Drosophila melanogaster: one gene and its partner. The protein of the gene in region 1 interacts with the protein of each later gene in a biochemical or structural test. Each region holds a gene or a part of one and is shown in the gene's direction. Other genes may lie near its edges.

What was found.
Region 2: the proteins of BEAF-32 (region 1) and Sry-delta form a complex in vitro, tested with the Drosophila melanogaster proteins (one study listed by BioGRID).

The regions. Positions count from the first base shown.
Region 1 is NT_033778.4:14,768,532-14,773,408, forward strand, and holds BEAF-32 (boundary element-associated factor of 32kD), read left to right. Parts: upstream 1-1,937; 5' UTR 1,938-2,054; coding exon 2,055-2,298; exon of another isoform or gene 2,299-2,870; coding exon of another isoform or gene 2,871-3,111; intron 3,112-3,268; coding exon 3,269-3,876; 3' UTR 3,877-4,099; downstream 4,100-4,877.
Region 2 is NT_033777.3:30,041,574-30,045,657, forward strand, and holds Sry-delta (serendipity delta), read left to right. Parts: upstream 1-1,767; 5' UTR 1,768-1,905; coding exon 1,906-3,207; 3' UTR 3,208-3,313; downstream 3,314-4,084. Other genes in the region: Sry-alpha (serendipity alpha), read left to right, coding at 1-1,281; RpL32 (ribosomal protein L32), read right to left, coding at 3,740-4,051. UniProt on the Drosophila melanogaster protein: Transcriptional activator that controls bicoid gene expression during oogenesis. Found in transcriptionally active cells. Binds to specific sites on polytene chromosomes of third instar larvae. Binds to the consensus DNA sequence 5'-YTAGAGATGGRAA-3'.

The DNA.
Region 1 (4,877 bases):
CATACACGGATTTTTCCAAGCAACAAAAGATGTAACAGATGAAAATTGAGAGAAGGAGAGGCTCAACTCGGTATTCTCTACGCGTTTCAAACACTGACTATTCGGAATTGTAAACTATATAGTTAGTTTTCTTATTTATTTAGCTTTTTTGAACTACCATTTGCTGCGAGCACTACTTTTTTATTAACATAAAATTTGCACCAACGAATCAATCGCGCTCGCTCTCGCACTCTCCGTCACTCTATCTCCCTCTCGCACGCGCTCTCCGCAGCTTGCGCAGAAAGTTTTTTGGGCGATTTCTCCATGTGTGTATATGCTGCTCTGCTTGCTGTTGCTGCCTTTACATATTTCATATTTACATACGCCTATACATACTGCAGCACAGCTATAATTTTTCACCGATTTTCCCAACCGATATGTTTAATTGCCAACCGCAGCGGATTTCCAACTATATTTTCTTCTTATTGTTTTCGCTTTTCACTGGGCTTACGTATGTATGCATGTGCGTGAATTGGAGTACTTCTTTTTAGTAACAGTAAAAATGAGAGGGCGAGAAAGAGAGAGCACTGGATGAGCTCGTTTTTCATTATTTCGCATTTAAAATGTGTAACTCTGTCTTTTAATTCATTTATTTAACAACGCGCACACATACACAAAAACACACACACACACAAAGCAGGAGCAGACGCAACAAAATGTAGCATTTTTCTTTGTATTAATTTTGCACTGTTTTAAATGACATTTACTTTTGCTGCTTGTTCGCAAATTTTTTTGCGTATATTTGTGCTTTTTCCGATTGGGCGTTTTTTTACAATTAAGCAGATATATTCACAACAATTGACATTTCCAAAAACAAACGACGGCGACGGCGAAAAAATTAAGAGACAGTGTGACCGTGGAGCAATCCGATAAATATACTCTCTGTGCCAACTCTAAAACTCCACATAAAATACCAACGTATATAAATGCATATAACGAAAATATTAGCTTTTTGAATTTGCAACTCTGGGGTTTTAATTTATGGCGGATTTCTTGAAAACGGTAATATTGACAAAACTTTAAATGTTCGTATTGTTTTCTTTATTCAAAATTTTAATTTTTCAAATTTTTTTGTGTATCGACATTGTGGATCATTAATAGTTTTAAATTAACAGGAATTCTAGGAAAACCTACAATTTGGTAAGCTAGAGCTAAGAATCGATTCTTTTATTCATATTGGTTGGGCAACATCTTTCGGTGCAGCTAATCCACATGCAGGCATCTGTATTGCCTGGTAGCCTTGAATTTCTTTGATAATCTTATCCTCCTGGCTGTCCAAGGCGACAAAGACCAAGAAGAAATCGTAGTGCGTTTCGATGTCCCGCGCACTAACCACGACGCACCAATCCATCAGGGCCTCGGTTATCTTATCTGTAGCCTTGTCCGCACTGGAAACGTCCGGATTCCAGTGGGAATCCTCTTCATCCTCTGATGTTGGATATATGACATAGGTTCTGTAGCACTTGTGCCGCTCCATGTGTGAAGTGCATCCATGTTATTTGACCAAGCTCGATTCTGGAGAAGACATTCCAGACTTTGCCGCGACTGCGCTTCTTGTTGAATTGCCGGACTCCGGCGTTCAATTGGGCCTTGATATTGTCCTGGCTGTAGGAAAGCCATCGAAACTTTACCCATTTAAATAAAAAGATTCTACTGATTCAATATACAATAGTCAACTCAATTGAGTTTATCGATAGACTGTTTACTATGGGTAATCGGAATCGCTAGTCATATGAGAATTTTAGGTTTTAAACTAAAAGAAAATATTCAAAAAACATAAGAAACAAATAAAATTCAAAAAAAATTAAACTTACAATCAAGTTCTTTTTAAGAAAATCAGTGGCTGTTTACACCACCTTACACTTTTCGCACCGTGCTAGCGCTTGTTTACCAACACAGTTTTGTGCGTGACTGAATTTTCGTGAGTTTGTATTTGTGTACATTTTGTAATTTGGGTTTGTTTTCTTCTTGGCAAACCGAATTACCACCGCAAATCGAACAACCGATACACCACGATGCATGTTGAAAAGAAATCAGAGCTTCGTAGCCTACTAAAATCCGGGGACAAGCGTTGCAAACTCGTTGAGCCCAGGAACACCAAAAGCTGCGTCTGGAGGTTTTTCAATCTCGTCCAGTGCGACGACCACATAGAGCCGTACGCCTGCTGCAAAACCTGTGGCGATCTGTTATCCTACAGCGGCAAAACTGGAACCGGATCCCTGCTACGGCACCGATGTCTCCACTCCAGCAGCAGTAACGGTAAGTTCGGGATCCGAAATCTCACGCACGCCCTTCACAATCGAAATCCACTGCCACGCGTGCTCCGTGCCGTAGAAACCGAGCACGGATCAGTGCCCGATGCCATCGCGATAAATCCACGGGTCATCGGTACAGGCTCCTCCACTTTGGCGCGGAAAAAGTAGAAACTCTAGTTATAGCAAGGCAGTAAATCGTCTTGAAAAAAAAAACTATAGATAAAAATAGTGCAGGATAGGTACAGAATTTTCCCCAACCAGTGGTTGTGCTTGTAAATAGTTTATAAACCTATTGTATATTATCTAAAATGCTATTAAAAAATCAGCTAAAAAATATTGTTATGTTAAAAGTATTTTTATGATTTTGCGCTGTTGTAAAGTATGTAAACATTCTCTTATTTTCGTTTTTCACCTCTGTTTGCCGTTGCCTTTGTTTCCACTCTTATGTTCATGCGTTTTACAACACTGCAACGGCACTTGACAACACTGACTACAGCAACGCCAATATCGCAATAAATAAATTTGTGGAGAAAAATCACTTTTGACGTACTAATTACCTAGAGAAAAGTATTAAAAATGCCCAAGGGTCGTGTTAGCAATGTGTGGCAGCACTACGATATTAACGAGGAGTGCGAAAACTTTGCGATATGCCGTTATTGCGGCAACAATATATCGCGTGGTGGCATGGCCAGCAATTTGAAGGGCAACAATACGACCAATTTGTGGACGCATCTGCGGCACAAGCACAGGGACGAGGTGCTGGTCAGTCCGGTGCAGCAACGTCCCCAGGCCCGGATGATCCCAATCATCAAGAAAGGTAATTCCAGCGAAGTTCGTATGGCGGGCTATCGACCCTTGGGTCGGCGGGAAACTATCGCCGGCGCCCATCTCTGGGTTATGATATTTTTGTTATTATCCGGTAGCTGTACCAATATGTATCGTATTAACCATCGCTTCCATCCTTTGCATTGCAGACAAAACCGTGCGGATTACCAAGGCCAAGACGCTGAGGGAGCCGCTGCGTGTGGCCAAGCCGAAGATCGAGTCGAACGTCGCCAATTATCTGGGCGAGGCGGGCGCCCTGCCGCAAAAGTGGGAGGAGTACGAGCAGAACGATGAGATTAGCGAGGACATTAAGGACATCATATACAGCGAGGATCCACTGTGCTATAGTCCTATACACGTGATGGATGATGAGGGCCTGGATCAGCCTGAGAAGCAAGTGACCGTGCTAACCCATTCGACTTCACCAGCCGGTGGAAGTAGCAGGCCCATCGGTGTTGGTTCGGGCGTACAGGCTACTGTGGTGGCCTCCACGTCCTCCAGCAGCAGCTCGGCCAAGCAGCTGAAGAACAACCTGGAGACGTCCATCGAACGGCTGACCGCTGTCAGCGAACAGCTCAGCTACATCATACAACAGAATCACGAGGAGCTCACCAAGGACGACGACTACTATTTTGCACTTAGCTTGGTGCCCGCAATGCGCCACCTTTCGCTCAGTCGGAAGATGTACGTGCGGTCCAAGATCCAGGATATACTGTTCAAGGAAAGTGAGGACTCAACGCTTGCCAAGGATGAGTAGGCGGTCCATTATATACATTTACCCAGAGGAATAATAAAACGAGGAACGAAGGAAACCATATGGTAAATGGGCAAATCAGCGTGTCGTAATCTAGGTTAATAATTATACATATGTTATGTATTCATTTAAATTATGCTCTTTTATCGATTGAAAATACTTACTTTGATTGTATATTTCCCAATTATATTTTACTTAAAACTCAAATAAAGCACTACAATAAATTAAGGAAAAGGCGATTTCATGGTGTATTACGTTTATTTTAAATAAATTTTATTTAAATAACTTGTTAAGATTTACAAAACAGAGAGCGTTGCTAGATTGTTATTATAAATTATTGTATTGTAATTTACAAATCGATTTTGCGGCTAAGTTCTGCTGTTTATGCGTTTCTTATAGAGATATGCTTGTATTGGCCGCTCCCCAATTGCGTAGCCAGCCATTTCGTTTTTCTCTTCAATATTTTGTAGATCTAGGAGTGCAAGCGTACATTATCATACAATACGAATACAAATTACAGTAAAACTCCTACAAATCGAGCAATAAACAATAAACTTAAGCCTATATATATATATATATAGTATGCTAGGCTTAGATTCTAGTCAACAAATCGGTAGTTTATCAAACACTGACTTGAATAGCGAAATGTATGTATGTCTAATTTGATGATTTGGTTGTTGATATAGGTAAGTGGTTCGCTCAAAATGAATTTTGAATTGTGGATATGATGGGCATTATACAAATATGTTCGCTTAGGGTGGATATTAGGACTAAGTGCACGATATGTTTGCCAAAAGTTTGGTATAAATTTGTTGTAATATTACGCGTAGATATGCTGCAAATCTGGCTTTTTGTATATCTATGTAGGTATATAACATTTTGATTTCGGTTCTCTCGACTGGCAGAGTGTATTTCCAAGACTTTCCTTTCATTATTTATTTATTTATTTTTTCGATATTAATCCAAGAAAGTATCGTATACAAGCATTTAGTTAATTATGTCCA
Region 2 (4,084 bases), on another chromosome or scaffold:
TCCTTGACGCAACTGGAAGGCAACGTGACCCCAGTCAAGAACCTAGAGGATCACTCCTTCGTTGAGCTCATGGACCTGGCTCTGGACCACTTGGATGACTACATGGAGAAGCTGGCCCAGCAGAGAAACAACTCGCTGCACATTCTAGAAGAGAGCTTCACGGAAGACACCTACCAGCTGGCCAGCATAGTTAATCACATCGTTCGCCACGCCCTGGCCTTTGCCAATGTGGCCATTCATTCGGACAAGAAGGCTTTGACGGCTTTGTGCGAGACCTTGCTCGCCGAATGTGCCACTTTCCACGAGGAGGCGGGCGAGCCCAACAGTGGTCATCGGAAGCTGGAGGCCCTCTCCCTGGAACGTGCCCTCTATGCCCTGGAATCCTTTCTCAATGAGGCGCTGCTGCACTTGCTGTTCGTCAGTCTGATAGATCTGGAAAACGCTTCGGTGGAGAAGCTAAAGGATGCACTGCAAAGGGATCCTGCGGGAGCTCAGGAGCTAATCTCCGCATTCGACACGAACATGGATCGCATTCAGCAGATTGGGGTTCTGGCCATAGCCTTCTCGCAGGACATCAAAACGAAGACGATTGTCAGGAGCTGCCTGGCCTCACTGGAATCCCTGGATGCGTGCATTGTGCCCGCTCTCCAGCTGCCAGAGTCCACTTCATCCGCACACCACGCGGAGGTCTTGCAGGAGCATTTTAACCAGGAGCTGCTGATCTTTAGGAACGTCATCCACGAAATCATCGATAGCTGCTCCCTGATCAACAACTACCTGGACATGCTGGGCGAGAGGATCCACGTACAGGACAAAAGCCATCTGAAGCTGATTGTCCAGAGGGGCGGAGTGGTGGTGGATCACTTTCGGCTGCCCGTCAATTACTCGGGACTCAGTGAAGATGGCAAGCGGGTGCACAAGGACCTCATTCTGATCCTGCGCGAGTGCCAGGCCGTGGTCAACCTGGACGTCCCAGTGGATCCCAAGCGCATCGTGAAGCGCCTTAAGATACTGTACTCCGTGCTGGCCAAGCTGAGGGACTTGATATGCAGGGATAATCTGGAGCCCGATTCCTCAGTTGCTTCCGAAGCTCAAGTGCCCTCAAGTGCAACCCGAACTTTTGTGCGGAGCAGTCGATCCTTTGGCAAACGGCATCGATCCTTTGTAAAACAAACCGGAAATTGCTCAGTTTTCGGGCCACAGGACTCACTTGCTGAATCCGGACACAGCGAAAGCGATCTTATTAGTTTCCAAATCACTGAGATTCTTAGGTTAGATTGAGTGGGGCGAGCCATATTCTAAATACGCGGGCTTATCTGTATGAGATTTTTTTTAATACTTCATTGGCTTGAAGTGCTTAATTAAGATTAAACATATCCTTACAAAGATTCTAATTAGCTACCTAAGTCAATTGTGTTCTTTACACTTATGTAATTACTTCATTAAGTTGAAGCCATTCGCATAATTTATATAAAATACAATTAAAACATACCATTATAAAAAAATTATATAATTCAATTCAATTTTTTCAGGGAATCAATAAATTAAATGCTACTCGTTTTCATAACTAAAGAAACCAACACCACCATAATAATCAACAACAAATTATGTATTTATGCAAATTGAATATCCGTTTGCAATATTGAGCAAACACATATTTTTATTATTCAACTCATATATTTCAGTTTTCACACCCTGTTCCATTCCCACCGTTCCGTTCCTGGCATCAATCGGCATCGTTCGCCAGCCCTGGTGGGCATTATGCCATGGTTGCATTTCACGCATTTTAGTATAGCTTCCGATATTCATCATTTTGCCAACTCTATTAAATTTCATACACAATTTAAAAGATTGTAAACAAACGCCGCACGAAACGGAATCGCTAAAAGGACCATCGTCGGCGCAATGGATACTTGCTTCTTCTGCGGCGCCGTCGATCTGAGCGACACGGGCTCCTCCAGCTCCATGCGCTACGAGACGCTGTCGGCCAAGGTGCCGTCGTCGCAGAAAACAGTGTCCCTGGTGCTCACCCACCTGGCCAACTGCATCCAGACGCAGCTGGACCTGAAGCCCGGCGCCCGGCTGTGCCCGCGCTGCTTTCAGGAGCTCTCCGACTACGACACGATCATGGTGAACCTGATGACCACCCAGAAGAGGCTGACGACCCAGCTAAAGGGCGCTCTAAAGTCCGAGTTCGAGGTGCCGGAGTCCGGCGAGGACATACTCGTGGAGGAGGTGGAGATACCCCAAAGCGATGTCGAGACAGACGCCGATGCCGAGGCGGACGCCCTGTTCGTGGAGCTGGTCAAGGATCAGGAGGAGTCCGACACGGAGATAAAGAGAGAGTTCGTGGACGAGGAGGAGGAGGAGGACGACGACGACGACGACGAGTTCATCTGCGAGGACGTGGATGTGGGCGACTCCGAGGCCCTGTATGGCAAGTCCTCCGATGGCGAGGACAGGCCGACGAAGAAGCGCGTCAAGCAGGAGTGCACTACCTGCGGCAAGGTGTACAACTCCTGGTATCAACTGCAGAAGCACATCAGCGAGGAGCACTCCAAGCAGCCCAACCACATCTGCCCCATCTGCGGGGTGATCCGGCGCGACGAGGAGTACTTGGAGCTGCACATGAATCTGCACGAGGGCAAGACGGAAAAGCAATGCCGCTACTGCCCCAAGAGCTTCTCGCGCCCGGTGAACACCCTGCGCCACATGCGCATGCACTGGGACAAGAAGAAGTACCAGTGCGAGAAGTGCGGCCTGAGGTTCTCCCAGGACAACCTACTCTACAACCACCGGCTGCGCCACGAGGCTGAGGAGAACCCCATCATATGCAGCATCTGCAATGTGTCGTTCAAGTCGCGCAAGACCTTCAACCATCACACGCTCATTCACAAGGAGAACCGCCCAAGACACTACTGCTCCGTCTGCCCCAAGTCCTTCACCGAGCGCTACACCCTCAAGATGCACATGAAGACCCACGAGGGCGACGTCGTTTACGGGGTTCGCGAGGAGGCGCCCGCCGACGAGCAGCAGGTGGTGGAGGAGCTGCATGTGGACGTCGACGAATCGGAGGCGGCCGTCACCGTCATCATGTCCGACAACGATGAGAACAGCGGCTTCTGTCTCATTTGCAATACCAACTTCGAGAACAAGAAGGAGCTCGAACACCACTTGCAATTTGATCACGACGTGGTCTTGAAATAAGCTACATTGCCTACAATAAGTAATTGTTTATCTTTCCCTAGTGTATTTCCTCCTCTTTGTACTTGATTATTGTAGATTCCTACAAAATATAATTTACTGGTATTTCAATTACTGCGTTTCATTTAGACAGAAGCATTTCCGATAATAATTGTACACTGTTCTGTAAAAATAATTGCGAATATATATATGATTTCATATAAACAACCTCTTTCAATACTAAGGGGGAAAAATGTAAAATATATAACAAAATTCCCTGATAAGGATTGATGCTGTCTAGTTTTGGCACGTCAAGGAATTTATATTGGTCTAATATCTCGAGGCAGTTGCTATCAGAAAGAAAGACCGCAATGGTCTGGATTAACTGATATCCATCCAGATAATGCACATGTTATCAATGGTGCTGCTATCCCAATCTCAGAAATGACAATTGAACTCGGCACTCGCACATCATTTTTTAACTAAAAGTCCGGTATATTAACGTTTACAAATGTGTATTCCGACCACGTTACAAGAACTCTCAAGAATCTTAAGCTTACTCGTTCTCTTGAGAACGCAGGCGACCGTTGGGGTTGGTGAGGCGGACCGACAGCTGCTTGGCGCGCTCGACAATCTCCTTGCGCTTCTTGGAGGAGACGCCGTGGGCGATCTCGCCGCAGTAAACGCGGTTCTGCATGAGCAGGACCTCCAGCTCGCGCACGTTGTGCACCAGGAACTTCTTGAATCCGGTGGGCAGCATGTGGCGGGTGCGCTTGTTCGATCCGTAACCGATGTTGGGCATCAGATACTGTCCCTTGAAGCGGCGACGCACTCTGTTGTCGATACCCTTGGGCTTGCGCCATTTGTGCTGCAAGGAGACATGTTGATTAAACACGGGTAC